7 linked regions of the Mus musculus genome follow. The protein of the gene in region 4 purifies or fractionates together with the protein of the main gene of each other region. This does not show direct contact. Links are inferred from orthologs where the notes say so. Each region holds a gene or a part of one and is shown on either strand. Other genes may lie near its edges.

Evidence for each region.
Region 1: the proteins of Usp10 (region 4) and Prkaa1 purify together in Homo sapiens (affinity purification with western blotting; 3 studies listed by BioGRID). This does not show direct contact. The link is inferred for Mus musculus from reciprocal best matches to the Homo sapiens genes USP10 and PRKAA1.
Region 2: the proteins of Usp10 (region 4) and Snai1 purify together in Homo sapiens (affinity purification with western blotting; 4 studies listed by BioGRID, with this or other methods). This does not show direct contact. The link is inferred for Mus musculus from reciprocal best matches to the Homo sapiens genes USP10 and SNAI1.
Region 3: the proteins of Usp10 (region 4) and Sirt6 purify together in Homo sapiens (affinity purification with western blotting; 4 studies listed by BioGRID, with this or other methods). This does not show direct contact. The link is inferred for Mus musculus from reciprocal best matches to the Homo sapiens genes USP10 and SIRT6.
Region 5: the proteins of Usp10 (region 4) and Ikbkg purify together in Homo sapiens (affinity purification with western blotting; 3 studies listed by BioGRID and IntAct, with this or other methods). This does not show direct contact. The link is inferred for Mus musculus from reciprocal best matches to the Homo sapiens genes USP10 and IKBKG.
Region 6: the proteins of Usp10 (region 4) and Eif4g1 purify together in Homo sapiens (affinity purification with mass spectrometry; 4 studies listed by BioGRID, with this or other methods). This does not show direct contact. The link is inferred for Mus musculus from reciprocal best matches to the Homo sapiens genes USP10 and EIF4G1.
Region 7: the proteins of Usp10 (region 4) and Pten purify together in Homo sapiens (affinity purification with western blotting; 4 studies listed by BioGRID, with this or other methods). This does not show direct contact. The link is inferred for Mus musculus from reciprocal best matches to the Homo sapiens genes USP10 and PTEN.

The regions. Positions count from the first base shown.
Region 1 is NC_000081.6:5,171,361-5,174,860, forward strand, and holds part of Prkaa1 (5'-AMP-activated protein kinase catalytic subunit alpha-1), read left to right. Parts: intron 1-2,847; coding exon 2,848-3,072; intron 3,073-3,500. UniProt on the Homo sapiens protein: Catalytic subunit of AMP-activated protein kinase (AMPK), an energy sensor protein kinase that plays a key role in regulating cellular energy metabolism.
Region 2 is NC_000068.7:167,537,052-167,540,994, reverse strand, and holds the start of Snai1 (zinc finger protein SNAI1), read right to left. Parts: upstream 2,801-3,943; 5' UTR 2,706-2,800; coding exon 2,624-2,705; intron 2,325-2,623; coding exon 1,797-2,324; intron 1-1,796. UniProt on the Homo sapiens protein: Involved in induction of the epithelial to mesenchymal transition (EMT), formation and maintenance of embryonic mesoderm, growth arrest, survival and cell migration.
Region 3 is NC_000076.6:81,624,738-81,629,014, reverse strand, and holds the start of Sirt6 (NAD-dependent protein deacetylase sirtuin-6), read left to right. Parts: upstream 1-1,477; coding exon 1,478-1,543; intron 1,544-1,692; exon of another isoform or gene 1,693-2,123; intron 2,124-2,397; coding exon 2,398-2,525; exon of another isoform or gene 2,526-2,587; intron 2,588-3,116; coding exon 3,117-3,299; intron 3,300-3,898; coding exon 3,899-3,958; intron 3,959-4,277. UniProt on the Homo sapiens protein: NAD-dependent protein deacetylase, deacylase and mono-ADP-ribosyltransferase that plays an essential role in DNA damage repair, telomere maintenance, metabolic homeostasis, inflammation, tumorigenesis and aging.
Region 4 is NC_000074.6:119,948,360-119,951,859, forward strand, and holds part of Usp10 (ubiquitin carboxyl-terminal hydrolase 10), read left to right. Parts: intron 1-58; coding exon 59-114; intron 115-319; coding exon 320-423; intron 424-1,999; coding exon 2,000-2,099; intron 2,100-3,500. UniProt on the Homo sapiens protein: Hydrolase that can remove conjugated ubiquitin from target proteins such as p53/TP53, RPS2/us5, RPS3/us3, RPS10/eS10, BECN1, SNX3 and CFTR.
Region 5 is NC_000086.7:74,436,181-74,439,680, forward strand, and holds part of Ikbkg (NF-kappa-B essential modulator), read left to right. Parts: intron 1-983; coding exon 984-1,102; intron 1,103-2,726; coding exon 2,727-2,879; intron 2,880-3,500. UniProt on the Homo sapiens protein: Regulatory subunit of the IKK core complex which phosphorylates inhibitors of NF-kappa-B thus leading to the dissociation of the inhibitor/NF-kappa-B complex and ultimately the degradation of the inhibitor.
Region 6 is NC_000082.6:20,686,227-20,689,726, forward strand, and holds part of Eif4g1 (eukaryotic translation initiation factor 4 gamma 1), read left to right. Parts: coding exon 1-151; intron 152-286; coding exon 287-405; intron 406-533; coding exon 534-706; intron 707-923; coding exon 924-1,049; intron 1,050-1,154; coding exon 1,155-1,236; intron 1,237-2,312; coding exon 2,313-2,411; intron 2,412-2,504; coding exon 2,505-2,639; intron 2,640-2,744; coding exon 2,745-2,826; intron 2,827-2,965; coding exon 2,966-3,106; intron 3,107-3,500.
Region 7 is NC_000085.6:32,809,577-32,813,076, reverse strand, and holds part of Pten (phosphatidylinositol 3,4,5-trisphosphate 3-phosphatase and dual-specificity protein phosphatase PTEN), read right to left. Parts: intron 1,382-3,500; coding exon 1,240-1,381; intron 1-1,239. UniProt on the Homo sapiens protein: Dual-specificity protein phosphatase, dephosphorylating tyrosine-, serine- and threonine-phosphorylated proteins.

The sequences.
Region 1 (3,500 bases), on a different chromosome or scaffold from region 4:
CTTCTCATGACACCATCTCAAGAAAACCAAACCAAACTAGACCGCACAGAGAGCAGAACAGAGTTACAAGTGTAACGTCACGTGTAGTTGTATAAGTATTCAAATAGCTGGCATTCATGTAGTAGCTTCATGTTTTATGAGGAAGGAAACTAAAGAAGTGGTCCTTTAAAAAAACAGACCAGCTGAATGTATTGCATGCCTATAGCCTGAGTATCGCACATGGATGCCAAGACAGGGCTATATAGGCCTGGTATCAAGGAAAATCGAGGTGAGGTGAGGGGCAAGAGGGTTATAAAAAGGGAGAAGGAAGGAGAGAGACTCATTTATGTTCAGTCTTGATCTAGATCTGCTAGAGATTGAAGTGTAAGACTGCTGAACTCTGAACTACTATCTAGCACTAAAGGACGGATGTATTTTCATTAGTTACTTTTTAAATAGCGTGAAAACAAAATTTAATTTGTGTTTTATTTCCTTGTTTTGTTCAAGGTTCAAGTTCCTCCTCCTCCTCCTCTCCTTCCTCTCCCTCCTCCTCTCCTTCCTCTCCCTCCTCCTCTCCTTCCTCTCCCTCCTCCTCCTCTTCCTCCTCTGTGATAGAGACAGTTCATTAACAAAGAGAAGGCACGCCTAAATTTGGAAGTGGGGTAGTGGTCTGGGAAAAGATATTTGCTTAAAGTTGTAAAATTTAATTTAAAAGACAGACTTTATTTTAAACCATATATGTATGTGTGTTTGTGTGAGGGTATGTGTACATTAGTGTAGGTGCTGACAGAGGTCAGAGCCCCCCAACCCCACCCCCCCAATCCTCACCCTTCAGCTATTGCTACGGGCAGTTGTAAGCTGCCTTGTGTGTGTGTGTGTGTGGGGGGGGTGAGAACTAAACCAGGGACCTCTATAAAAACAGCGCAGGTTCTCAATGGCTGAGACATCCCTCCAGCTCAGAGAATTTATTATTTTTTTCCATTTTTTAAAATTAGGTATTTACTTCATTTACATTTCAAATGATATCCCGAAAGTCTCCAATACCCTCCCCCAACCTGCTCCCCTACCCACCCACTCCCCCTTTTTGGCCCTGGTGTTCCCCTGTACTGGGGCATATAAAGTTTGCAAGACCAATGGGCCTCTCTTCCCAATGATGGCCGACTAGGCCATCTTCTGATACATATGCAGCTAGAAACACGAGCTCCGGGGTACTGGTTAGTTCATAATGTTGTTCCACCTATAGGGTTGCACACCCCTTCAGCTCCTTGGGTACTTTCACTGGCTCCTCTATTGGGGGCCCTGTGATCCATCCCATAGCTGACTGTGAGCATCCACTTCTGTGTTTGCTAGGCACCCGCATAGCCTCACAAGAGACAGCTATATCAGGGTCCTTTCAGCAAAATCTTGCTGGCGTAGAGAATTTATTTTTAAGATCAACGCTTTGGCTAGGCTTGGTGGTGCACCTTACCCAGGAGGTTAGACAGCAGTTTGTCTCCAGCTCAGGCTCCTTAGTGAGACAGGGCCAGCTTGGGAATAAATAAAATGCTCTTGCAAAAACAAGCAAGCAAAGAAAGAAATAAAAAACAAGTAAAAGTCAAAGCAAACAAAAACACATTGCTTCCTCATTGCTGCTGAAACACTAATGAGGTAGGGGAGGCCTGTTGCTCGCCAGTGCCCACAATCCCGTCCACCTCAACCATTTCCTTGTTTAAATGCTTCAAATGGTGATGGACCTAATTTAAAAAAAAATCCCTGTGCTTTCTATGTTCATGTGCTTATTTTTTTTTGACTGCTCAAAGAAAAGGTAATGAAGTGAATTAAAAAGATTCATTTGTGTTTTCTATCTTAATTCCTTTGATTTGAGAAAAATTCAAAATCTAGATGCTACAGGGAATATAACTAAAGAAAAAAGGCATGCGTCATGTTCAAGCATGCATAAAATGGGCTCTTGGGGAAATGTACAGTTTGGATGTCTTTCCTTGAGGTCTGTGTGAATAGGAGCACTCATTTTGAGAACAGTGTTTACTGCTGTCTATAGGAAGGAAGCACTCTCGTCACTCTGAGGGTTCGTTTTCCCCCTGAAGGCAGCCTCGGATGATTCAGCTGGTTTGCAGCTAGTTAGAATCCGTGTCTCCAGTGCTTCCTTCACGTAGACGCACTCACGCACGAAGAGGGCGAGTGTTCTGTGAGCTCCACTGCCCTTGGCTTGCTTCTGCAGCTCCAGCTTCCTGAACTGTGATGTGAGGGTTTTAGGAGAAATGGGTTCAGAGTCTGTCACTACAGACTTGAATCATGGGCCCAGCGAGTTGGCTCAGCTGGTAAAACATTTGCTGCCAAGTGCCTAGAGTCTGACCCCTGAATCCTGGGTAAAGGTAGGAGAGAACTGATTCCACAGAGCTGTCATCTCAGCTCCACACCCACTGTGGCATGTGCACACCATACACACGCACATGCATGTGCACACACACACACACACACACACACACACACACACTAAAAGTTACTTAAAGGTGAGGGTGGGGGAACAAAAAAGGTACTTAAAAAAAACTATCCCTGTGGCTCAAATCAACATTGATCATGATGGCTCAAGGGTTGACCTTATTGGTAGGAAGTTTGAGGGTCATAGTAAGGTAGTACAATTTGACCCATGGATCACAAGTTACAAAATAGCTTATTTTTAAACAGGTAATACTGATAAGACTAGTATCTTTATGTGTGATGTGCAACAACCACTATAGATACCATATTCTGACCACTGATTTCTTTAAAAATTATTTTCTTATATTTTTCATAAAGTATTTGTATTTGAAGAGTGTTGACCGATGCTTTTTGATATTGTGATTAATACAGTTAGCATTCTCTATGCAGATTGTACGCAGGCCCCGAGGTGGACATCTGGAGCAGCGGGGTCATTCTCTATGCTTTGCTGTGTGGAACCCTCCCTTTTGATGATGACCATGTGCCAACTCTTTTTAAGAAGATATGTGATGGGATCTTTTATACCCCTCAGTACTTAAACCCTTCAGTAATCAGCCTTTTGAAACATATGCTGCAGGTGGATCCCATGAAGAGGGCCGCAATAAAAGATATCAGGTAACTCACTTTATCTGCCTACTTGACCAACCAGCCAACAAACCATCTGTCTGTCTGTCTGTCTGTCTGTCTGGACTGTGTAGTCTTGGCTATCCTGGAACTCACTCTAAAGACAAGGCTGGCCCTGCCTCCCTCTGCCACCCGAGTGCAGTGCTAGGATTAAAGGCGCGTGGTATTACCATTGCACAGCAATATTAGGTGATTTTTAAACCAATGTATTTTTCTACCTTTTCGAGTCTCTAGATACCAGAGAAATTTCATTTTATTTTTTATTTTTATTTTTATTTTTTTTTTTTGGTTTTTTCGAGACAGGGTTTCTCTATATAGCCCTGGCTGTCCTGGAGCTCACTTTGTAGACCAGGCTGGCCTCGAACTCAGAAACCCGCCTGCCTCTGCCTCCCGAGTGCTGGGATTAAAGGCATGCACCA
Region 2 (3,943 bases), on a different chromosome or scaffold from region 4:
GCCTCCCGTCCCTCCCAGCCTGCTAGTCCACAGGCGGTGCCCTTTGGTTGGATTCTAGTGATGGAATTCGGGGCTGAGGAATGGCGCCTGGGTGTGCTGAGCCTCTGGATAGAGGAAATCTCAGCAGGGATCCTGCGGGATCCACCCACTCAGCAGGTATTCACTGAACAGAGCCGCTTTCAGCCCCCCTAGGGGGCACAAACCCACACAAGTCTTCAGCTACACAGGTGGGGCTCCAAAGCCCTGGGTGGTGGTGGACCTTGGCAATCTGTGGGTCCCTACAAGTAAGGGGTGTTGCCCCCTCCCTAGAATGGCCTAACCACTACCTGTCCGTTTAGCAGGGACAGGCGAACTGAAGTACTTAACAAAAGGGAGGTTTCAAGATAACACAGGGTGGGATGGAGCTGGGAGTCTCTGGGCTTGCACAGGAAGTGTAGACACCCCCCCCCCCACACACACACACACTCTCTCTCTCTTCACAGATCCCCGACCCCCAGACGCCTTCATAGTGTTCCTGGCAAGTGTGAAATCGGCACCAGGCCGGCTGGGACAAAGGCCACTAAGGGGGACACTGTACATGTGATACCCCCTGGATTAAAGGGGCCTGCCGTGCAATGAGCCAGCAGCTGCGGCCAAGAACAGGTGCTGGGCACCGCTGCCCCGTGCACCTGCTCTAACCCTGCAGGCCCCCACCCCCTGGGCTACCATTAAGACACACAATGGAACTCCTAGAGAACTGGGTGGTGCATTTCAAGGAGGGTTTTGTCTGAGCCATGCCTTTACATCAAAACAAAGTCCCTGGGGGGTGGGGGGTGGTCGGAGGCAGCCTAGGACCCTGAGGGCTTCAGCTCTTCCCCAAAGTAGAGCCCCACAGCTTAGCAACCCAGCCGGAGAGAGGCAGCCTGTTACACTTTTATAGGTTAAATCTGAGGCAATCCGTGCCTGGGGGGGGGAAACGGGTAATCTTATTCAAGTAATAAAGGTGTCAGTGAGACCTGCAAATACCTCCCTGCCACCCCCAGGCCTCACTGCCCCAATGCTGGCCACCACAAGAGACGCACAGCTCTACCCCAAAGCCTGACACACTTTCCAAAGAGCAGCCCAACCGGAACCCCCACCAAGCCTGGCTGAAGCCTTCCCTCACTTCTAGAAGCTTCCCACGTGGCCCAAGGCTGAGAGGACAGCAAAGTCATGTCTTTGTTTCTCTTCTTAAAAAAAAAAAAAAAAAAAAAAAAAAAAGATGTGTCTATTCTATTCTTGTCCTACATGGATTGGTATGTTGCCTGCATGTATGTCTGTATGAGGGTGTCAGGTCCTCTGGAACTGGACTCTTAACAGGCAGTTAGTTAAGTTGTGAACTACCATGTGTGCTGGGAATTGAACTCAGGACCTCTGGAAGAGTAGCCAGTGCTCTAACCACTGAGCCGTCTTCATAGTCACTGGGAAGTCATTTCTTAGTGGCACCTGCACCTAGCACTTCACTCTACAAAGACCCCACGAAGTGTTCTCTGATACATTTTAGAAACGAGGAAACTGGGGAAGTTCTCGACTCAGGATTCAAGGCCAGGTGCAGAATATCCTGTCTAGCAATATCCTGTCTGACTTCTACAGTGTGGGTTGAGCCCGGATAGGGAACACCTCTTCACTCCTAGCCTCGAACAGCAAGGTACAGAATGGAGAACAACCAACATCTACTTTGTCCACTGCTTGGCAGCCTTAGGAGTAAGTGTTGAGTCCCCCCAGGGTCTAAGGCCAAACAGCCCAGACTCAGAGCTCAGCTATGCACACTCACTCACCAGTGTGGGTGCGGACGTGGCCCTGAAGCAGCCAGGGCCTAGAGAAGGCCTTTCCACAGGTCGTGCAGACACAAGGCAGCGTGTGGCTTCGGATGTGCATCTTCAGAGCGCCCAGGCTGAGGTACTCCTTGTTACAATATTTGCAGTTGAAGATCTTCCGCGACTGGGGGTCCTTGGCCACCGAGAGCCTGGCCAGCTGCTTGGGAAGTTGGCCCAAGCCAGGGAAGGCGATGAAGGCCTCGGCCTCCAGGGAGGAGGCCGAGGTGGACGAGAAGGACGACGGCGCCGGCGAGGGCGGGCTGGGCGGCTGGGAGCTTTTGCCACTGTCCTCATCGGACAGCGAGGTCAGCTCTACGGCCTTGGGGCTCTCCCGCAGCGGGAGGGTGGCCCAGGCAACCGGCCGCACTTGGGGTACCAGGAGAGAGTCCCAGATGAGGGTGGGCAGCGAAGCGGCGGGGTTGAGGACCTCGGGCGGAGGGATGGCGGCCAGCAGGTGGGCCTGGTCGTAGGGCTGCTGGAAGGTGAACTCTGCGGGAAGAGAAGAGACAGCAGGGAGTCAGCTGAGCGGATTCTCGGGGCGCCAGGTGGGGGGGCTTCCCGCCCGCCCCTCCCCTCCCCCGCCCGGACTCCGCAAAGCTACCCCCGCCTTCGAGTCTTCAACTCCCGGAGCCTCCCCGTCCCGGGTCAAAGACACCCTCGGTGGATCCCAACTGCCAAGACCCGGAGCTCCAGATCCACCTGTCGCGCCCGCAGAGCCCGATTCTCACCTCCCCCCAGCACCCTTGGGATCCCCCCCAGCCGCCCGCGTCCCGCACCCCACCACGCACCCACACACGCGTCCTGCAGCTCGCTATAGTTGGGCTTCCGGCGGGGGTCGGACGGCTTCCTGACCAGGAAGGAGCGCGGCATGTTGGCCAGAGCGACCTAGGTAGTCGGGGTCACCGGGTCGCGCAAGGTCGGTAGTCAACTCCGCTCGCGAGGCCCGGCCGCACACTACGATCCCCTAGCAGCAGCAAATTCCTTTAAGTACCAGGGCTGGGGGCGTGACCGTACTGTTGGTCACGCCCCTTTGTCAAGGCTGAGCCAATGGCTGGCGGCGGCGCGGCCGGAGACTGAGACCGGAGCAGGTGCGCCTGGGCTGCTGGGGCTCCCGCCGCGTGGCGCTGAGATTCCGCTTGGGCTCCTCCCGGACCGGACCGCGCGGCTTCCGAGCTCCTCGGGCGACCCCTGGTGGCCGCGCCTGCCCCACGACGAGCGCGGTGCCCCGCAACATCCCCGAGCTGCTGACCTTTGGGCGCTGGGGAGCCAGAAAGTGCGATGATATGCACGCGCTTAGGGGTTCCTGGAACTGTCTACACAGCCCTGAACAAAACACTACCCAGGGATGCCCTACGCAAGGATGGCTTCCCGGCCGTGGGAGAGAGAGACAGACAGAATAAACAGAGGATTCGAATACTAAAGGGAGGTGTGATTTGATGAAAGGAGGTGGGGAGAGACAGCTGTGACTGTCAATGAACGGTCACCTGACAGGGGAGGGTGTCTATGACTTCCTAGAGGAAGTGAAGAAGCACCGAGGGGAAAGGCCCGGGGTAAGAATCAGTAACTTCTGCCTGTCCAACCTTTGAGAGCAGGTTCCAGGATGAGGTTGGTGTTGGGCAGACCCTGAGGGGTCCGATTTCCTGGCCTCGGGTCTTTGGAGGAGTTTGGACTTTGCCTTACAGGCACTGGGGAGTCACGGAAGGACTTTCAGCTGAGGACGGACGTGTTTAGAGTTGCATTGTGAAACACCAATAAGGGCAGGTGCGAGGCAGAGGTAGCAAGGACCAGGGCTAAGGCTCCCGACTTCCTGAAAATCGTGTTGGAACGTTCACAGGGAGGAAGGGTGGCCTCGGAAACCAAACCCACACCCCCATAGTATGGGGTTATAAACACCTATAAAGCAGAGGGTCTACGGAAACCTCTGGGGCACCAGCTAGCATCGAGTCTCTAGGCACTGGAGGTAACAACAGGGAATAGAATCAGACTCCCAGCACTGGGGGTGGGGGGTGGGGGAGTGGGAGGATGGTCAGACAACAGGCAACCATCGTGGAGAACACTGCCCTCTGGGTAGATTTAGTTCATCCATGAGTCTCCCTGAGTCCAGAGGG
Region 3 (4,277 bases), on a different chromosome or scaffold from region 4:
CCCATCCACCCACCCATCTACCCATCCATCCATCCATTCACTGATCCCACCTCCTCTACTAATCAGGTTCACTTTCACCCCACACCTACCACCAAGGGTGGGTGACAAAACACCCAAAAGAGTTGTCCACATGCTACCAGTCTGAAGGAAATCGCCACGGCAAGGTGGCAGGGAAGGCCTGTGGATTTAAGGGTTTGCCTTCTGAAGAGGTGACACAGCACAGGTGACGCTGCGCACTGGGCCTGGGCCTTGGCTCCCGCGTGGGATGTGTGCACCTGTCACAAGTGTGCAGATGCGTGTGTTCATACTGTTGCAGGTAGCACCCCTCACCAGCACCCAGACTTCCCTGGCCTCCCTCACCCACATCCCCCTACCTCAGGCGACTCCAGACCGGAACCCAGCGTCCAAGCAGCCTCTCTGGTTACCCGCTCCAGCTGCGAGCCACCAGCAGCAGAGTAGAGGTGACACCCGATCAGGTTGGGGTGGGGGAGCGGGGGACGGATGAGCCAAGGGAGGAGACAAGCTGCTGTTAGCCAGCTTGCTCAGATGGGCAGCCCCAAGGACGGCCTCTCCCACCTCCTTGTGTGCTCCTGCCTCCTCGAAGCCTTTCTTGGGGTCTCCACGGGGATCAGGAGGCTTCGGTTGTTATATGCTGCCATTGACCCATCACATGGCTCCTGTGTCTGTTGATTACCAACAGGCAGAATGGTCAGATAGTGCCTCCCATCTCTAGATGGCCACGGAAGCAGGGCTCTTCACCTCTCTCCTTGCATCTCTGGGCACCTCTGGGTAACACGTGGAACTCGCCCAGTTCTGTGGACCTAACCCTATGCTCTGTGATATTCCGGGAGGTGCACTCCAGAAACTAACCCAGGAAATGTTGGCAGGGGGCCCAGAGGTCTTTCCTCTGCCCAAGAACCCCAGTTTTCCATTCATTCTCTCCTGTAGCCAGAGTCAGGCAGACCCTGGATGACAGTCACAAAGGTTAGGGTATCATGTAGCCTAGCGTGGCTTCGAACTTTCTGTCCCCTCCTGCCAGTGCTATAAGCACTCCGGGCAGGGCTCTACACACTGAGAACTGTGGATTTTTGTTTTGCTTTGTTTGGTTTCATTTCTGGGTTTTGCTGATGTTGTCTCTTTTGAAACAGGGAGTTGGTCTGGGACTCGCAATCCCCCTGCCTCGACTCCTGTGAGTGGCCTCATCACTTTTCTGGCTCTGGTCGCGGATCCCAGGACTGGGGAATCCACTAAGTCAGAGAGGTAGTCTCGGCCAGCACTGAAGACTAAGCTTGCTGCATCAGGAGGGCGCATGCGCTCTGGAAAGAATGCTGTTTTTCACCTCCACGTACCCACCCCACCCTCAGGCACGTATCTAGGGAAGGCGGCTACTCTTTCCCGACCGTCCCTTCACCACTTCCGGCGGAAGCGGCCTCAACAAGGGAAACTTTATTGTTCCCGTGCGGCAGCGCCGGCGACGATGTCGGTGAATTATGCAGCAGGGTTGTCGCCTTACGCGGATAAGGGCAAGTGCGGGCTGCCCGAGGTGAGAGCTGCAGTGTTCGAGTCACCGAATGACCCCAGACGGGGAGCGGCCGGGCGAAGCGGGGCATTGTGGGAACAGCATGAAACATAGAGTCTAGACAATGGGAGGGACTTCCCTGGAAGGAGGGGGCGGGAAGTGACACCCACTGCTCAGGCTGGGTGACACGGAGGAACCTGGGTCAGGGAAGGAGTGAGGGGCTAATGGGAACGAGACCAAATCGTCAGGTCAGGGAGTGGACGTCTTAATTGTCAGGGAAAACCTGGAGCTGTGGGAAGATCTGCAGGGCCGGAAGCTGGCACCCTTTCCTGGGGGCATCCCTGTACCCCACTCTGTACTCCTCCCTGAATCTGGGCCAGATGGATCCTGAGTGTGGGGCTGTCAGTCTTTGTTGTTTCTGAAGGGGTGTAGTAGGGTGGAGGGTTCTCTCTTTGTAGCCCAGGCTGGCCCCGAACTCACAGGAATCTTCCTGCCTCTGCCTCCCGAGTACTGGTGTTAAAGGCCTGCGACACCATGCCCTGCCTGCCTCATGTTAACGGAGCCCCTAGACAAGTAGAGCTGCATCTTGATTTAGGGGAGAGAGGTGGGTTATCTAAAGTCCAGGATGGGGGATGACGTCAGTGGGGAGGTCACGTGGGCCACAACCAGACCAGGACAAAGGAGTGGCTGCCTGCAGGAACAGCACTCTGGGAAGAGGGCTCGGCATGTGCAAAGGCCCTGGGGTAGGACACAGCGATGTGTTAAGAGTGTGGCTGGAACTGAGGGATGTTGAGAAGGGGCAGACAGAGCATTGACCCACAGGAGGCCTGCCACTTGGGAGGTCACGTGTTGCCTCCTCCTGCCCTCTGACCCTACAGATCTTCGACCCACCAGAGGAGCTGGAACGCAAGGTGTGGGAGCTGGCCCGGCTAATGTGGCAGTCCTCCAGCGTGGTTTTCCACACGGGCGCCGGCATCAGCACCGCCTCTGGCATCCCCGACTTCAGGTCGGTGAACAATGAGGGGAAACTGAGGCAGGGCTCTTGCTGATACACCTCTAGGGACTAAGGTGAGGTGGCAGAAGGACCTTTCAGTTTTCCTATGTCTCTGAAAGGCCCAGCAAAAACTCCACTTGCCCAAGGATCAGAGCATGCCCACATAATGTAGTAGCTGCAAGGCATGCTGGGAAATGTATTCATGCAGCTCGGCCAGCCACTGGGTTTTCTAGGGTCAGAATGACTCAATGTTGTGGAGTGACTAGCTCACCCATAACCTTCGGTGGCAGCCTATGACCACTGTAAAGCATTCTGGGAACCCGCAGCCGGTCTTAACCAGTACTCAGCCCCAGCTCCACTAGCTCCCCTGCCTTTGTTTACCCCCAGACCCTCAGCCCCTCCGCCTCTTTCATGAAGACGTCCCATGCTCTTTAGAATTCTTGCCTACCCGGCAGTCATTGTCTCCACCACAGGATACAGAACCACCCTAAGAACGGGGCTGGGGCCAGCATGGGCTGACTTCAGCATTAACAGGAAGAGCCCACAGCCTGGAAAATGAATGTTTGACCTCTGTGCCTGTCCTCCTCTGCTTGCTATCCTCAGAGGCCCCCATGGCGTGTGGACCATGGAGGAACGCGGCCTGGCCCCCAAGTTTGACACCACCTTCGAGAATGCTCGGCCCTCGAAGACCCACATGGCCCTGGTTCAGCTAGAACGCATGGGCTTCCTCAGCTTCCTGGTCAGCCAGAACGTAGACGGGCTGCACGTGCGCTCGGGCTTCCCCAGGTCCGATGAGTCGGCCGGGGGGCTGGGGCTCAATTGCATCTCTTCCTCCTTATTGGACCAGGGTGCCCTAGCTCAGGGGCATTTATTAGGGATGCAAAGAGGGGGAAGGCTCGGAGCCCAAAGCCGGGCAGTACTTGGTCAAATTGGGGGGATGTAGGCAGGGTTCCACCCCTCACTGGGGTGGGGTGGGGAGGTTGGCAGGGGCTTTAGGGCCAACTGACTGTTGCGGCAGAGGGCGAGTACATGACAGAATTTCTCCATGTCTTGGCTACCCTGGGACTTGCCCTGTAGATCAGGCTCACAGAGATCCACTTGCCTCTGCCTCCCAATGGAGGGATTAAAGGGGTGTGCCGCGGCTAGCCAACAGGTTTTTTGTAGTGGGGAGGAGGTATTTGTGAGTTTGTGAAGACACCGTCAGACAGCTATGCATGCAACAGTTCCTCAGAATGGGACAGGCTGGGACATCCTCCAGGAAAGAGAAGTGGACGCCCCTTGTGAGTGAGCCCCCTAGGAAGGCTTTCTGGAGGAGGAGGCAGACTGAGCAGCTGGTCCAAGCCCCAGGATCTGGGAAGGGTCCTTACTGGCATCTTCTTCTGCAGGGACAAGCTGGCAGAGCTGCACGGAAACATGTTTGTAGAGGAATGTCCCAAGTGTAAGACGTGAGTGTTGCCCGTGTAACACAAGACCCTGCTCCTCCCCTAAGCCAGCTCAGGGTCCTAGCATGGCCTAGAGAAGGCCAGAGACAGTCAGATGAAAACAGACCAACAAAGGCTCGTAGACAAATGGGGCAAACCCTTTCTTCACAGCCCCCCAAGGGAGAAGCTGGTCATGCCCTTGGCAATGAGGGGTTCTCCCTGCCCTGCCTTTGCTATGGCTCTGGGCTGGGTGTCAACATGGCTTGCACACCAGAGCCTCGGGGTGTTGAGCAGGACTGTGCCTCCTGAGCTTTGGCCCCTGACTCCCTCTTAGGGGTTCTTT
Region 4 (3,500 bases):
GCCACCGTGCCCAGGCCTGCTCCTAACGTGAGTTCTGCTTTGCTCTTTCTCCATCTAGTGTTCGGCTCATGAATGAGTTCACTAACATGCCAGTGCCTCCCAAACCCCGCCAAGGTGAGTCAGAGCTCGCGCCGGGATAGGCGCCTTGTCACTGGGGACACGGAGCGAGGGGGTGGCGTGTGGTGAATGTGTGGTCTTACTGAAAAAAGTGTCTATTTAAACCAAGGTGTTTTCCCCGTGTGATGGGAGTTTGGGTGGATTTGCTTTCACCTCTCTGTGGTCTCTTTACTTACCAGAATCTTCTGTTTTTTTCTTGCAGCTCTCGGGGATAAAATCGTGAGAGATATCCGCCCAGGGGCTGCCTTTGAACCCACATACATATACAGACTCCTGACAGTCATCAAGTCGAGCCTGTCTGAAAAGGTCTGGGGTGCTCTGTGGTTGCTATGGAAACTGCTCCCAAGAACTGGGGGAGGGGACCATGCCTACGTCCTAGAGCATAGGGGCCAAGGCAAGAGGATCTCTGGGAAGCTAAGCCTAGCCTGCTACAGAGCAAGTTGTAGATGACCCTGAAGTGGCTGTTGGCGCATGCCTCGAGCTGTGACTTGGTGGGGTGAGAACTGGGTGAGGTTTATGGTGGAGACACTCAATGACTTAACACGTGCCAGTTACCCACATTTAATAGCATTGAGACCCAAGGACGGAGTCTCACTGGCTCTGCCAGCCTGTGAATCCACCGCTGATGGGCAGAGCCTGGCTTCTGAGTCTGACCCTTGTTGCTGCAATGTGCTTGAGTGGGGGGGGGGGGGTTCCTCCTCGTCCTGGAGTGCTCCGCCTCCATCTTAGTCCTGCTCAGGCTACAGCAGTGAGTCCATCAACTCAGCCATTGTAGCCTGGCTTTTCCTAAAATCCTGCTAGCAGGTAACTAAGGGCAGGTGAGCGGGTGGGCAGGCAGGCGGGCAGGCGGGCAGGCGAGCGAGCCAGGCGGCCTTCCAGTGGTCATTGTCTAGAGCATCCAGCTGGTCTTCCAGTGCCAAGTCTAATGCATTGGCATGAGCAGTGCAATGCAGGTATAGACAGGAAGCTTACTCAGAGTGGAAAAATAGTAAGAGAATGCCATTTAAATGAATAGTCTGGAAGCTGTATTGCTTTAAATAGAGTGAGCATGGACTTGCAAACTTTATATGCCCCAGTACAGGGGAATGCCAGGGCCAAAAAGGGGGAGTGGGTGGGTAGGGGAGTGGGGGTGAGTGGGTATGGGGGACTTTTGGGATAGCATTGGAAATGTAAATGAGGAAAATACCTAATAAAAAATTAAAAAAAAATAGAGTGAGCATCCAGGTACACAAAGACACCAGCTGCACAACTTTAGCTTTTCCTTTCTCCTCACCCGCTTCTTTTCCCTCCCTCCCTCCCTCCCTCCCTCCCTCCATCCCCCCCCCTTCCTCCCTTCTAAGATAGGGCTTCTCTGTGTACCCCTGTCCTGTGCACTCTGTAGACCAGGCTCAGAGATCTGCCATGCCTCTATCTCCCCAGTGTTAGGATTTAAAATCCTGAGCCGCCACCACCATCCCACTAGCTTTTTTTTTAAATGCCTGTGATACAGCTTTTCTTGTTTTGGAGTTTCACTTCCCACTACTTGGGATTTGGGGTGCTAGGAATGCCTCCCAAGAGTGGGGATTAGAAGCACAACCAGAAGTGTAACGACAGTGTGCAGATGCAGTGGAGTGGAGGTGGAAGGCACCCAGGGACCTTCTAGAACTGTGGACGTTTTCACAGCGCTGAGTGGCGCTATTGTCTAAGACCAGCTTGTGTGTACCAGTATCTGTGCCTAGGAGGTTAGCTATAGAAATAGGCTACAGAGTTCTCATGGCAACTCTGGGGATTTGGGTTCACTGGTCTAGAGCATTCATCTAAGGTGTAGTTTGCTCTAGGTGCTGGGGCTTCTATAGGCCTTACTCCAGCTGGTTGGAATTAATGTGCCCATGTCTGTCCTCAGGGCCGGCAGGAGGACGCAGAGGAGTATCTAGGTTTCATCCTCAATGGACTCCATGAAGAGATGCTGAGCCTGAAGAAGCTACTCTCACCCACGCACGAAAGTAGGTTCTTCTGGGTGAGACTGTTTGCCTGATAGTGGCTTCAAGGAAGGTCACGTGTCTGTGCTATCGATACATACACATGGGCATGCATGTACATGTGCAGGCATGCACAGTTAGAAGTCTCCTGTCCATCAGCAGTGCTTAGCATACATCAAAAGCCAGCTGTTGTTCATTTCCTAGTAGAGCAGTGAGAAAGTTGGGCTTGGATAACTGAAATGTACCCAGCTCACGCACATGTTTCAACTTTTACTCTAGAGGGAGATTCTATAGTTCCTGTTCCGTTGCAAAGGCTTTGCTCGGGCTTAGGCTTCCGGGGGGGTAGAGTCCATCACAGCGGAGGGCACACTGGCAAGCTAGATGACCACGCTTACCCACACACAGCGAGCAGAGAGTGGACAGAGCATAGAGCCAGGCTGTAAGCCCCAGCCAGTAATGTCCTCTCCTCCAGCCAGCCTCTGCTGCCTAAGCAGTGCCACCAGCCGAGAGCTAAGTGTGGAGTTCCGTGAGAATTTCACATTCAAATGACCTCTGAGATACAGAAAGACAGAAGCGAGTGGGAAGACCCCCGTGGGTGCAAGCTCACTCCAGACTGCTCTGCTCGTTTGCCTTAGGGATGGGAGGTTGGCGATAATTGCCCCTGCTGAAGGCCTCCTCTTCGAGCATAGCTTCTTCTCTCAAGCCACAGAGTCTCTTCAGATTTTTCCAGTTGTCCAAAGACAACTGTGAAATGTGAACGTCTCTGGATTTTGAGACAAGGTCTTTCTCTGAAGCTCTGGCTGGCCTGGAACGCTTAGTCTTTGTGCTCTAGCCCGTCTCAGTGCCCTGCCTGCGTGGCATTTCCAGAGCTTGGTGTCTGAGAGTGTCCAGTGAGGCTGGCTGCTTCAGTTGCCTACTGTGACTTTCAGTGTAGAGCATAACTAGATCTTCTTATATGTGTGGATTTGCAAGACAGGATTTCTCTGTGTAGCCCTGGCTGTCCTGGAACTCTGTAGTCCTGGCTGGCCTTGAACTCACAGATCTGCCAGCCTCTGCCTCCCAAGTGCTGGAATTAGAGGTGTGGGCCACCACTGCTTGGTCACCTGTTTTGGTTTTGGGGTCTTTTTTCTTTGTGGGGTTTTTTGTTATTTTGGTCCTTTCTGAGTGTGTGTGTCCATCCATCTGTCCACCTGCCCGCCCACCCACCCATGTGCAATTGTAATTGTGTGTGCGCGCACGCGCTAGAGAGGTTTCTGAGGTAAGGTGCAGGTCAGAGGACAAATCAGGAGTCCGTTCTCTTCACCACGTCACCGCAGGAGTTACATTCTCATTGTCAGGCCCGGAGAACGTGGCTTCACCCGCCGAGCTTCTCCCTGGCCCTCATGAGTCTGTTTAGCCAGCTCTTATCATAGAATCTGTGCGGAC
Region 5 (3,500 bases), on a different chromosome or scaffold from region 4:
AAATCAAATGTAGGTTTTTGTACTTGAAGACCGGGAGTCTGGGTTCTTTCTGATAATTCCATTTAAGAGAAGTAGCACTCAGGTTTTTGAGACAGGGTTAGGGTCAAAGGAAATACATGGGCTTTGAGGTGATAGAGAAAGGAATCATGGCAAAGGTTAGGCCTATGTCAAGTGTCAGTTTCTTTAACAGCTCTGAGCATTTGCAAGTAGGAACTAGGAAGGGGCTTGGTACATTACACAAATGTGATCTTAAGCTGTTAGAAGGCATGCTAGAGCTAGAGAGATGACTCAGAGGTTCAGAGCACTGACTGTTCTTCTAGAGGTCCTGAGTTCAATTCCCAGCAACGACATGGTGGCTCACAACCATCTGTAATGGGATCCGATGCCCTCTTCTGGTATGTTTGAGGAGAGCTGCATATACATAAAATAAATAAATCTTTAAAAAGAAGGCATGCTAAAGTTTGGTTAACCTTAAAGTTTGTCTGAGCTGAGCATGGTTTGTACTCAGGACAGCTTGTGATAGTTGGTTTCTTTTCTTCCATCATATGGGTTTTGAAACTCAAACTCTGGTCATCAGCCTTGGTGGTGAGTACCTTTTATCTGATGAGCCTTCTTGATGGTTCAGCTCTCAGTATTTAAAAAATTCCAGTCTCCTCTCTTATTCTGAAACTTCTCACCTGTTGTATAATGTGGACTAGGTGTTAATTTTTGTTGCTGTCTTTGAGTCTAGCCTCCTTTTACAGAGTCTCAAAAGAGACTGAGAAAGGTTCACTACCACTTGAGAGTCAAGGTTGGTGACTGGAGGAAGGCAAATAGCCATTGGGCTAATGAGGCTTCAAAGTACCAAGGTTTATAGGTCTTGAGAGGCAGGAGAAGCCCTCCATATATCAGCTGCTTGAAGGCTGCCTTAGGTCTTAGAAGTGCCAAAAGTGGGAAGCTTGGGAGAAAGCAGTACTGATAGGGAATGACCTTTTTTCTTGTAGCAGATGGCTGAGGACAAGGCCTCTGTGAAAGCTCAGGTGACATCATTGCTCGGAGAACTCCAGGAGAGCCAGAGCCGTTTGGAGGCTGCCACCAAGGATCGGCAAGCTTTAGAGGGAAGGTGAGTGGGGAGGGGAAGCTAACCCAGGAGGCCCCTTCCAGGGTTTTTAATGAGACAAATGTAGGAGTTCTAGGAATTCCTCTCTCTGAAAGGAAGGACCGAGTCTTTTTAGATTCCCCAGAGCCCTCAGGGCTTCCTTGTGAGAAGCCTGGTCTGGTATTCAGGGATTTAGTTCTAGCTGTTGCTGGAAAGACTCTGAGTCTGTACTGGGTGCTTAGTTAGGGCTTCCGTTGCTGTGGAAAGATAGCACGACAATGACAACTTTTATAAGGAAAACATTCTATCTGGCTTACATTCAGAGGTTTAGTCCATTATTGTCATGGTAGCAAGCATGATGGTAAGCAGACAGACATGATGCTGGACAGGTGTCTGAAAGTTCTTCATCGGGATTGGCAGGCAGCAGGAAGAGAGAGTAAACCAGTGAGCCTAGCTTGAGCATCTGAAACCTCAAAGTCCATCCCCAGTGATCCGCTTCTTTTAACAAGGCCACACCTACTCTTAACAAGGCCACTTATCCTAATCCTTTTAAATAATTCCACTCTCTAGAATCCTACGGGGGCCATTTTCACTCAAAACATCATACTGGGATCTAGCTTATTCTTTAGGAAGCACTGCAGGGCCCCTGAGACCACACTCAAGAGCTCACTATCCAGACTGATATGCAGTGGGATTCTACCAAGGCAGAAAGTCCTAGGTGAACAAGACTGGATACATTCCACAGCAACCCTGTGAATAGCACAGAGCCCTCATGAACTACTTCTCATTAAAGACTATGGATTCCATGTTTCTGTTGGGAGTTGTTCACGTTGGTATCCTCTGCCAGGCATGTACCAGTATTTCTGAATTCTGGCAGAAAAGTGAGTTTGACTGACTTTGTCAACTAATGGTCTTGGGACTGTCACTCACTCTCTTTTGCCAAGGGGGTTAGGTTGCCACATGAGATCATTTAGTTACAGGCATGGGTACTGTTGTGCCTCTCATACTGCCTTGCTGCTGTCCTCCATATAGTTAGTGAAGCTAACAGGCCTTCTCAGTGCAATAGGTAGTTATTGTGTTTGTGGAGTAGTGGGTTGGGGCTCCTGTCCTGTGGGAGGGAGGAGAGTTTGACTTGGGCTCAGAGAGCACTGGTGGTGGGTTGGTGGGGGGAGGGCAGTGTGAGAAAAAGCCAAAGGGGAGCAGGCCCAGTAGTCCAGATCTGCCTTGTCAAAGTTGGGATGATCTGCTGTCAGTGGCTTCCTCAAAGACACATGGAAATGTCCATCATTGTCTTTGTAATGAGCACACAGGGAGGTACCAGGGTGTTGAGGCTAACACCGGAACTAGAGTTTAAGGGAAACTGTGGGGTACTGTAGGCCAGGATCAGAAGATATGGGTGATAGAGGTAAGACACCATGAGCTTTTACAGTGAGGGTATAGAGGCAGAGATGAATTCTCTGCTGAGACTATTGATGCTATATCTTGTCCCATGGGGCTGTACAACCTAGGTATGGAACCTGAGCCTCTAGTGAGGGTGCCTGGGACTAGAGCTAAACTGTGAGTTGCACAGTAGTTCCTGCCTATCCTTGAGTCCAGTGCTAATGAGCTCACAGCCTTCTCAGGGTGTTCTTTTTTTGTTGCATGTCAGGATTCGAGCAGTTAGTGAGCAGGTCAGACAGCTGGAGAGTGAGCGGGAGGTGCTACAGCAGCAGCACAGCGTCCAGGTGGACCAGCTGCGTATGCAGAACCAGAGCGTGGAGGCTGCCTTGCGAATGGAGCGGCAGGCTGCTTCAGAGGAGAAGTAAGTGCCTGGGAGGGTTGGTACCAAGAGATCTCAGAGTGTGGAGGCTGCCTTGCGAATGGAGCGACAGGCTGCTTCAGAGAAGTAAGTGCCTGGGAGGCTTGGTACCAAGAGATCTCACAGCACCCGTGGTGCTTTCTGCCTTTTAGGGAGCCCTGATAGGGACTGATTGTGTATAAAAGGGCTGATTTTTCTCCTTTTGCCTTGCTAATGACAGAGTCAACTATTATATGTAAACAGGAATATTTTCTACCCATATTCATGTTCACTACATGTCCTACATAGGTTCTTTTCATCACAGTTAAAATATACTCTTGGTGTAAGGAAAGCAAAGAGCCATGGTGCCTTCAAGCTGGTCCTAAACACTCCTTATCTGGGCTCACAATGCCTGTACAGGCTCTCAACCTGCTATTGGTATCTGGTTCAGCATCCTTTTGAGTTTTCTTTAATTTAGAACAGTCTCCCTGCCTCTACATTTATTTTCTTTTTGGTGCTAGAGATGGAGGGTAGGGCCTCAAACACACTAGGCAACAGTTCTATTCCTGAGTTGTACCCTAGCCCTTGTTAGAAACATTCCAAGATGTTGGCTTTAAGGAAAACATGAACTATGTAGCAGCCAAA
Region 6 (3,500 bases), on a different chromosome or scaffold from region 4:
GACCGTGGGGACCGACTTGATCGTGCCAGAACACCTGCCACCAAGCGAAGTTTTAGCAAAGAAGTGGAGGAGCGAAGTAGAGAGCGGCCATCCCAGCCTGAGGGACTCCGCAAGGCAGCTAGCCTCACAGAGGATCGTGGTCGGGATCCTGGTGAGAAGGAAGGGAAGGCTTGTAGAGGAATGGGGGGAAAGGCTATTGGGTGATATGGGACTGAGTACTCCCCAACTTTCTTGAGAAACTCTGGATTCTTTTAAGCCGAGTCACTGAAAAGCTCTTCCCCTGTAGTGAAGCGGGAAGCCACTCTACCTCCAGTGAGCCCTCCAAAGGCTGCGCTGTCTGTGGATGAGGTGGAGAAGAAATCTAAGGCCATCATTGAGGAATATCTCCATCTCAATGACATGAAGGTTGGCACTGGGGAGGGACTAGTGATTGCTTGTAAGGGTTGGGGAAGGGGAGGCATGCTGACTGGCATGGTCTATATTGGCTGGGGACCCGGCAATGATGGTTTTCTTCTTCATATGTACTGCCTCAGGAGGCAGTACAGTGTGTCCAGGAGCTGGCTTCACCCTCCTTGCTCTTCATCTTCGTACGGCTTGGTATCGAGTCCACGCTGGAGCGTAGTACCATTGCTCGTGAGCATATGGGGCGACTACTGCACCAACTGCTCTGTGCGGGGCACCTCTCTACTGCCCAGTACTATCAAGGGTAGGATTCGTGTTAGTCCGTATCCGCATAGCTCACCAATTCCTTCTCCTTTGTGGGATTCCTGAAATCTCAGATTTTAGCTGGAGGTTGTCTCATGTCTGGAAAATGTTTCGGGGGGTGGGGGGGGGCTCCACATTTGATTTTTAGTTGTGTATTTCCCTAGAAGCAGGGTGTCTAACCCATCTCTAAATGCCCTGACCCCTTATTCCCTTTTCAGGCTGTATGAAACACTAGAATTGGCTGAGGACATGGAAATTGATATCCCTCATGTATGGCTTTACCTGGCAGAACTGATTACACCTATTCTCCAGGAAGATGGGGTGCCCATGGGAGAGCTCTTCAGGTAGGCCCTCCCTCCCTTTGTGGGTGTGAGAGACAGAATGGAGGAAGTGAGACAAGTTACAGACTTGGGTTTGGAGGCCATCGGGATTGATGATCTTTCTTACAGGGAAATTACGAAGCCTCTGAGACCCATGGGCAAAGCTACTTCTTTATTGCTGGAGATCCTGGGTCTCTTATGCAAGAGCATGGTGAGTTGAACCTTTCAAAGGTTGATATATTCAGAGACTTTTTTATGGCTTTGGCTGCCTTGGGTGACCATGGAGCCTCTTGGTCCTTTGTTGGCCTGGAGTATTTGTAATGCTAGGACTACTTTTGATACTTGAAAGAGGAAAAGTGTTAAATAGGTAGTTTGTGTCGTGAGTTCTTCCTGGGCTGAAGGAAGATTGGCAAAGAAAGACCCTAGACCCGTGGCTAATTCATTTGACTGGTGTTTCTTTGAACAGTTCACTATAGACCGAGATCCTAGGATTATAGCAGTTAAACAGTGTGAACTCCAGCTTGGTACAGAGCAGAGGAAGAGATGGGAGCCTCAGTGATTAGAGTGAAATGGGAGACAGTATCACAGTATCTCAGGACCGGCCATGGAGTGTTTGCAATGGAAGACCACCTTTGATGAGCACTACAACTATTTTATGAAAGCTAATTGGTGTCTGGAATGTAGGGCCTTGAAAACGTCAAGTTGAGAGTGGTGCCCGTGGTTGTAAGAAGTTGGGTATGTAGTGTGAAGTTTGAATGTCTAGAACTCTGAGGGGTAAGACAAGATTGAAAGGGACGTTTTGTGAAGATGAAGGTGTAGGTATGAAGATGAAAACCTTATTGTGTAAGGTTTTCTGAATGTAGGAAACCAATAGGCATTTTGTTTGGTTTCTTGTTTTTTTGTTTTTTTTTTCGAGACAGAGTTTCTCTGTAGCCCTGGCTGTCCTGGAACTCACTCTGTAGACCAGGCTGGCCTCAAACTCAGAAATCCATCTGCCTCTGCCTCCCGAGTGCTGGGATTAAAGGCGTGGCTACCACGCCCGGCAGATCCAGTGATTTCTTAAGAGTTCTACAAACTCTAAGTGATACTTTTCCTAGATGCGCTCCCCCATCCTAATGTCATACCACTGAGGTGGTAGTGAGTTCCTATTCCTTGTGATGTTTATTTAATCTAGGCATAGAAGGGTGGTGCCTATGTAGTATGATTATTGAACTATTGAGTCCTAAGAGTCAAGGGCCATGTGTAGAAGTAGCTATTGAGATGCTGAATTGGTCTTTTGTTTTTCAGGGTCCCAAAAAGGTGGGGATGCTGTGGCGAGAGGCTGGGCTGAGCTGGAGGGAATTTCTAGCAGAGGGCCAAGACGTTGGCTCATTTGTGGCTGAAAAGGTTTGACACTGGAGTTCACTTATTCTGCATTTGGGGCTAGCTAGTCTCATCTTTCCCTCATCTTTTACACTAGTTTTGGTCATTTGTTTATAGAAGGTGGAATATACCTTGGGAGAAGAATCTGAAGCTCCTGGCCAGAGGACACTTGCCTTTGAGGAGCTTCGTAGGCAGCTAGAGAAGCTGCTGAAGGACGGCGGCAGTAATCAGCGTGTGTTCGACTGGATAGACGTATGTTTTTCGTGGATATGGGGGAAGGAAAGAGGTAGTTTTTGAGGTGGATGGTTTGGGAGTAACAAGAGTGAATACTTAGAGTCTATTTGTTTTTCTGTACAGGCCAACCTAAATGAGCAGCAGATAGCATCCAATACATTAGTTCGAGCCCTCATGACAACTGTCTGTTATTCTGCAATTATCTGTAAGCCAGGGGAGTGGTGGGACAAGGGTGAGCCAGGCAATCTAATGGGGGGAAAGGAGTTTTGGTCTTGGCCTTCTAGGGCCAGCCAAGCCAGGTGAAGTCTTCATTACTCTGTTTTGTTCCCCCCCCCCCCCTGTAGTTGAGACTCCTCTCCGAGTGGATGTTCAAGTGTTGAAAGTGCGAGCAAGACTGCTGCAGAAATACCTGTGTGATGAGCAGAAGGAGCTACAAGCACTCTATGCTCTCCAGGCCCTTGTAGTGACCTTAGAACAGCCTGCCAGTAAGCCAGGCTGCAGGGGTGAGGGTGGGACAGAGGGGCTGCCAGATAGAAGCTGGTCATGGAAGGTACTCAAGCCAAGAGAGGCGGGGGAAAGAGCAAAATGCCATGGTGATTTGATTGTTACTTACCCTACCCTCTGCTTGTTTCCTTGCCTACAAATGGAGTGAGTTAATCTAAGCCTGGAGGGTTGATTGCCTGCCCGCTTTGTGCTTGACCAGTAGATGACAGCAATGCAGAGGTGATAAACAGTAGCATCTTTCAGATACCATGTGCCCATCTGTCTGATACAAGGCTGAAGTGCTTGCCTGCCTTTTTGGTTTTTTCTAAGACAGGGTTTCTCTGTGTAGCCCTGGCTGTCCTGGAACTCACTCACTCTGTAGACCAGGCTGGCCTC
Region 7 (3,500 bases), on a different chromosome or scaffold from region 4:
TGATGCCTAAACTATAGGAAGAACATGAGTTCCTATCCCCTTTCCTTCTCAATGAACCTAGTGAAGTTCCTAGGTCAATTGCTTTCAATAGTCCATTGTGCCTTGTACTCACACTTTTAAAATTATACTAATATACTTAATCAGTATGGAAGTTCCTTAGAACTTTCCAACAAGCTATATAAATAAATTAGGGGCCCTTAACAAAGTTGCCATACTCATGGGCAATCACACCTATCTGACGAAGAAACTGATTCTCTACATAAAAATTATTTTAGAAAGAACAAGTTAATTTAATGAAGTATTTCATGGAGGCGAAAAACTAAAATCACTGACAAACTGCAAACATCCATAAAATAATATCAAGGGATTCTAATAAGTGACATCTGATACTATGACGTTATATTGAAAATACAAATAAAATATCTTAAGTGTAAAACATGACTGACCACTCCCAGGTGTCACTAAGGTAAGAGAAATTACTACAAGCACACACTGATGTCATGACGTCATACTTACCAAGATTTCTTTATTTTACTAACAAGCAAACTCAGTGAGGAGATGACAAGTCCAAGCCACAGGCTGAGAGCTTGACTTCAAAGCTACACTTAGGTTTTCTCCACACATCCCAATTCACACACCCTTTTATTCTCTATATTTGAAGGGCTCCTCTCTTTCTGTCTCTGACAGTGAACATGTTTCCCTCTGATGAGGACCTGGTTGTAGCCAGAGGCCATTCTCACACTGATCTGTCAAGAGTGTCTCTCAGATTCTCACACTGATCTGTCAAGAGTCTCTCGGTTATTTTGTCAGAACAGAGACTGCATCTGGTGGTTATAACATAGAATATTTCTCCCATAAATATAATTGACTTGAAGAACACCAAAATTGCCAGGTGTGGTGGCTCACACCTTTAATCCCAGCACTTGGGAGGCAGAGGCAGGCAGATTTCTGAGTTCAGGGACAGCCTGGTCTACAAAGTGAGTTCCAGGACAGCCAGGGCGATACAGAGAAACCCTGTCTCGAAAAACATAAAAACAAACAAACAAAAAAAGAACACCAAAATTCATTGGGTTAGCTTTCTTAACCCAGTGAGTTGAACAACTGAACTAATTAATTCCAACTTCAGAAATATACTCCTTTTAACCTGGTAAATGTATTTCTAAACATTTACATATACATTTAGATATGGTTTTAAAAAGTTTTCCGACACACAGACAGCTAAGAATTTAGAGCACTTACTGCAAGTTCCGCCACTGAACATTGGAATAGTTTCAAACATCATCTTGTGAAACAGCAGTGCCACGGGTCTGTAATCCAGGTGATTTTTTAGCAGGTAGCTATAATAATATACATAGCGCCTCTGACTGGGAATTGTGACTCCCTGATAGGCCCAGGGGGCAGAGGGAGGAGGGAGACAAAAGAAAAAGAGAAGTCAAATTCAAAAGGAAAGTTTCATTAAAGTTATTATACAAAATTGCTATAACTGGGTTATCCCAAAGTTTCTCCTTTAAGTGGCTAACAATCAAATCTAACTCAGTATTAGAATAAATAAGAGCAATAACAAAAGAATATTCTTAAAATGTAGTTATTAAATACCTCATTTATTCAAATATTAAATAATGCTCTGATCTATGAACCCAATAAGCAAAGGCCACTGTGTATTCAAACAGACAGTCAATGGTCTCTGTACTGCAGCTACACATACCCAAGTCTCCTCTCAAAGATGGGTTTACTAGGCAAGTCTTCACAAACCTGTTTACATACTTTCTAAGCAAAATCATATCAGAATCAGTACACTAGAGAAACGTGTTGCCTCTGTGCAGGAAAAATGAGATTCTGACCTTAGAGTCCAAAAAAAAAAGGAAAAGAGAGAGTATGCAGCTGAATGATAAACATATTCAATACAACTTGTTAACAGAGGCAGTAAGGGGTATCGGTATCCTTGTGCTATATCCACTCCTTGCAGACATTAGGGAAGCATAAAATGGCTTAGAAAATATTACAAATATTTAAAAGACATAATTCATATGACATTTAAAAGGGGACCCTAACCAGGAATGGTGTCCCACACCTGTAATCCTACCACTAAAGGGGATGAAGCAGAGGACTGTTCCGAACCAGCCCAGGGTTTATATAGTTCCAGGCCAGCCGGAAACCAGTCAATCAATCAATCAATCGCATGTATGACCCAAAACCCATGCATATGTTTTTTTCTTAGTTCTTGAAATATTTTGTGAGTGTTTTGCCATATGTATACCTGGTGCCCACAGAAACCAGAAGGCATGCCATGAAACTGGAGTTACAGATGTTTGTAAGCCATTGTGTGGGTACTGGGAGTTAACCTGGGTCCTCTGCAAGAACAACAGTGCTTTAAACCAGCTATCACTTCAGCCAACCTAGCCCATGCCTATATACATTTTTTAAGGTACCACGTAACCATATATATGCCTAAAACTTCGGCATGGGGGAGCAGAGACAGGCAGATTCTTGGGATTCACAGGCTGGCCTAGCCTACTTGGTGAATTCCAGACCAATTAGAGACCCTGTCTGAACAAGATAGATGGCACCAGAGGATGGACATCCAAGGAACATACAGACACATACATATATACATATAGACACACACACACAAAGACATACATACCATATGTGTAACAATTCATTCACTAATGAGTTAATATTTTTCTATTCACAATATAACAGTAAAAAAGTCAATATAAGGCAAATAATAAGCATTTAATCTAACAGTTTAAAGTAAACAGCAGTTTTGGCATGGCAGTACCCTCTTGTAATCTCGGTACTTGGGTACAACCAAAATCGTAAGTTTAAGGCCAGCTTGACCTATGTGAGGCCCAGTCTCAACAAACAGAATTGCAGAAAATAGGTATTTTATGTTAATAAGAAAAAGGTATTACAATGCTCTTTAGTTTACTGATGGCCTCTCAACTTCTACTGTGATAAGGACTCTAGACACAGACACCCTTCTGCTGGGGAAGAAGACAGCATACAAGCTAAGAAGTATAGAAGGAATACGATGTCTAGCAAATACAGGTATATGAACTCTGACCCCACCCTCTTCCCCTCTCTCTGTCTTTCTCTGTTTCTCTGCTCCATATGTGTATCAAAATGGATAAGTGGCAGTATACAACTTTAATTCCAGAATTCAGGAGGAAGAAAGAAGCTGGTGGATCTCTGTGCATTCCAAGCCAACAGGGCTACAAAGAGAGACCCCGTCTCAAAAACAAAAACAAACAAACAAAAATGGATATAAACCACTTGAAATCATGATTGGCAATTTAAGACTTTGGCTAGAGTGAAAAATCACATACTAAATAGTCAAAGCTTATATTTGAATTCTGAGAAAATATAAACTTCCAATTTGCTTCTTTAAAAAAATTAATACAATAATACAAACCTCCTTAATAGAATTTACATGAGGATAAACCAGCAAATTCAGTTATATAAAAGAAGTTAAAATAAACAAAAAAATATAGTAGCTG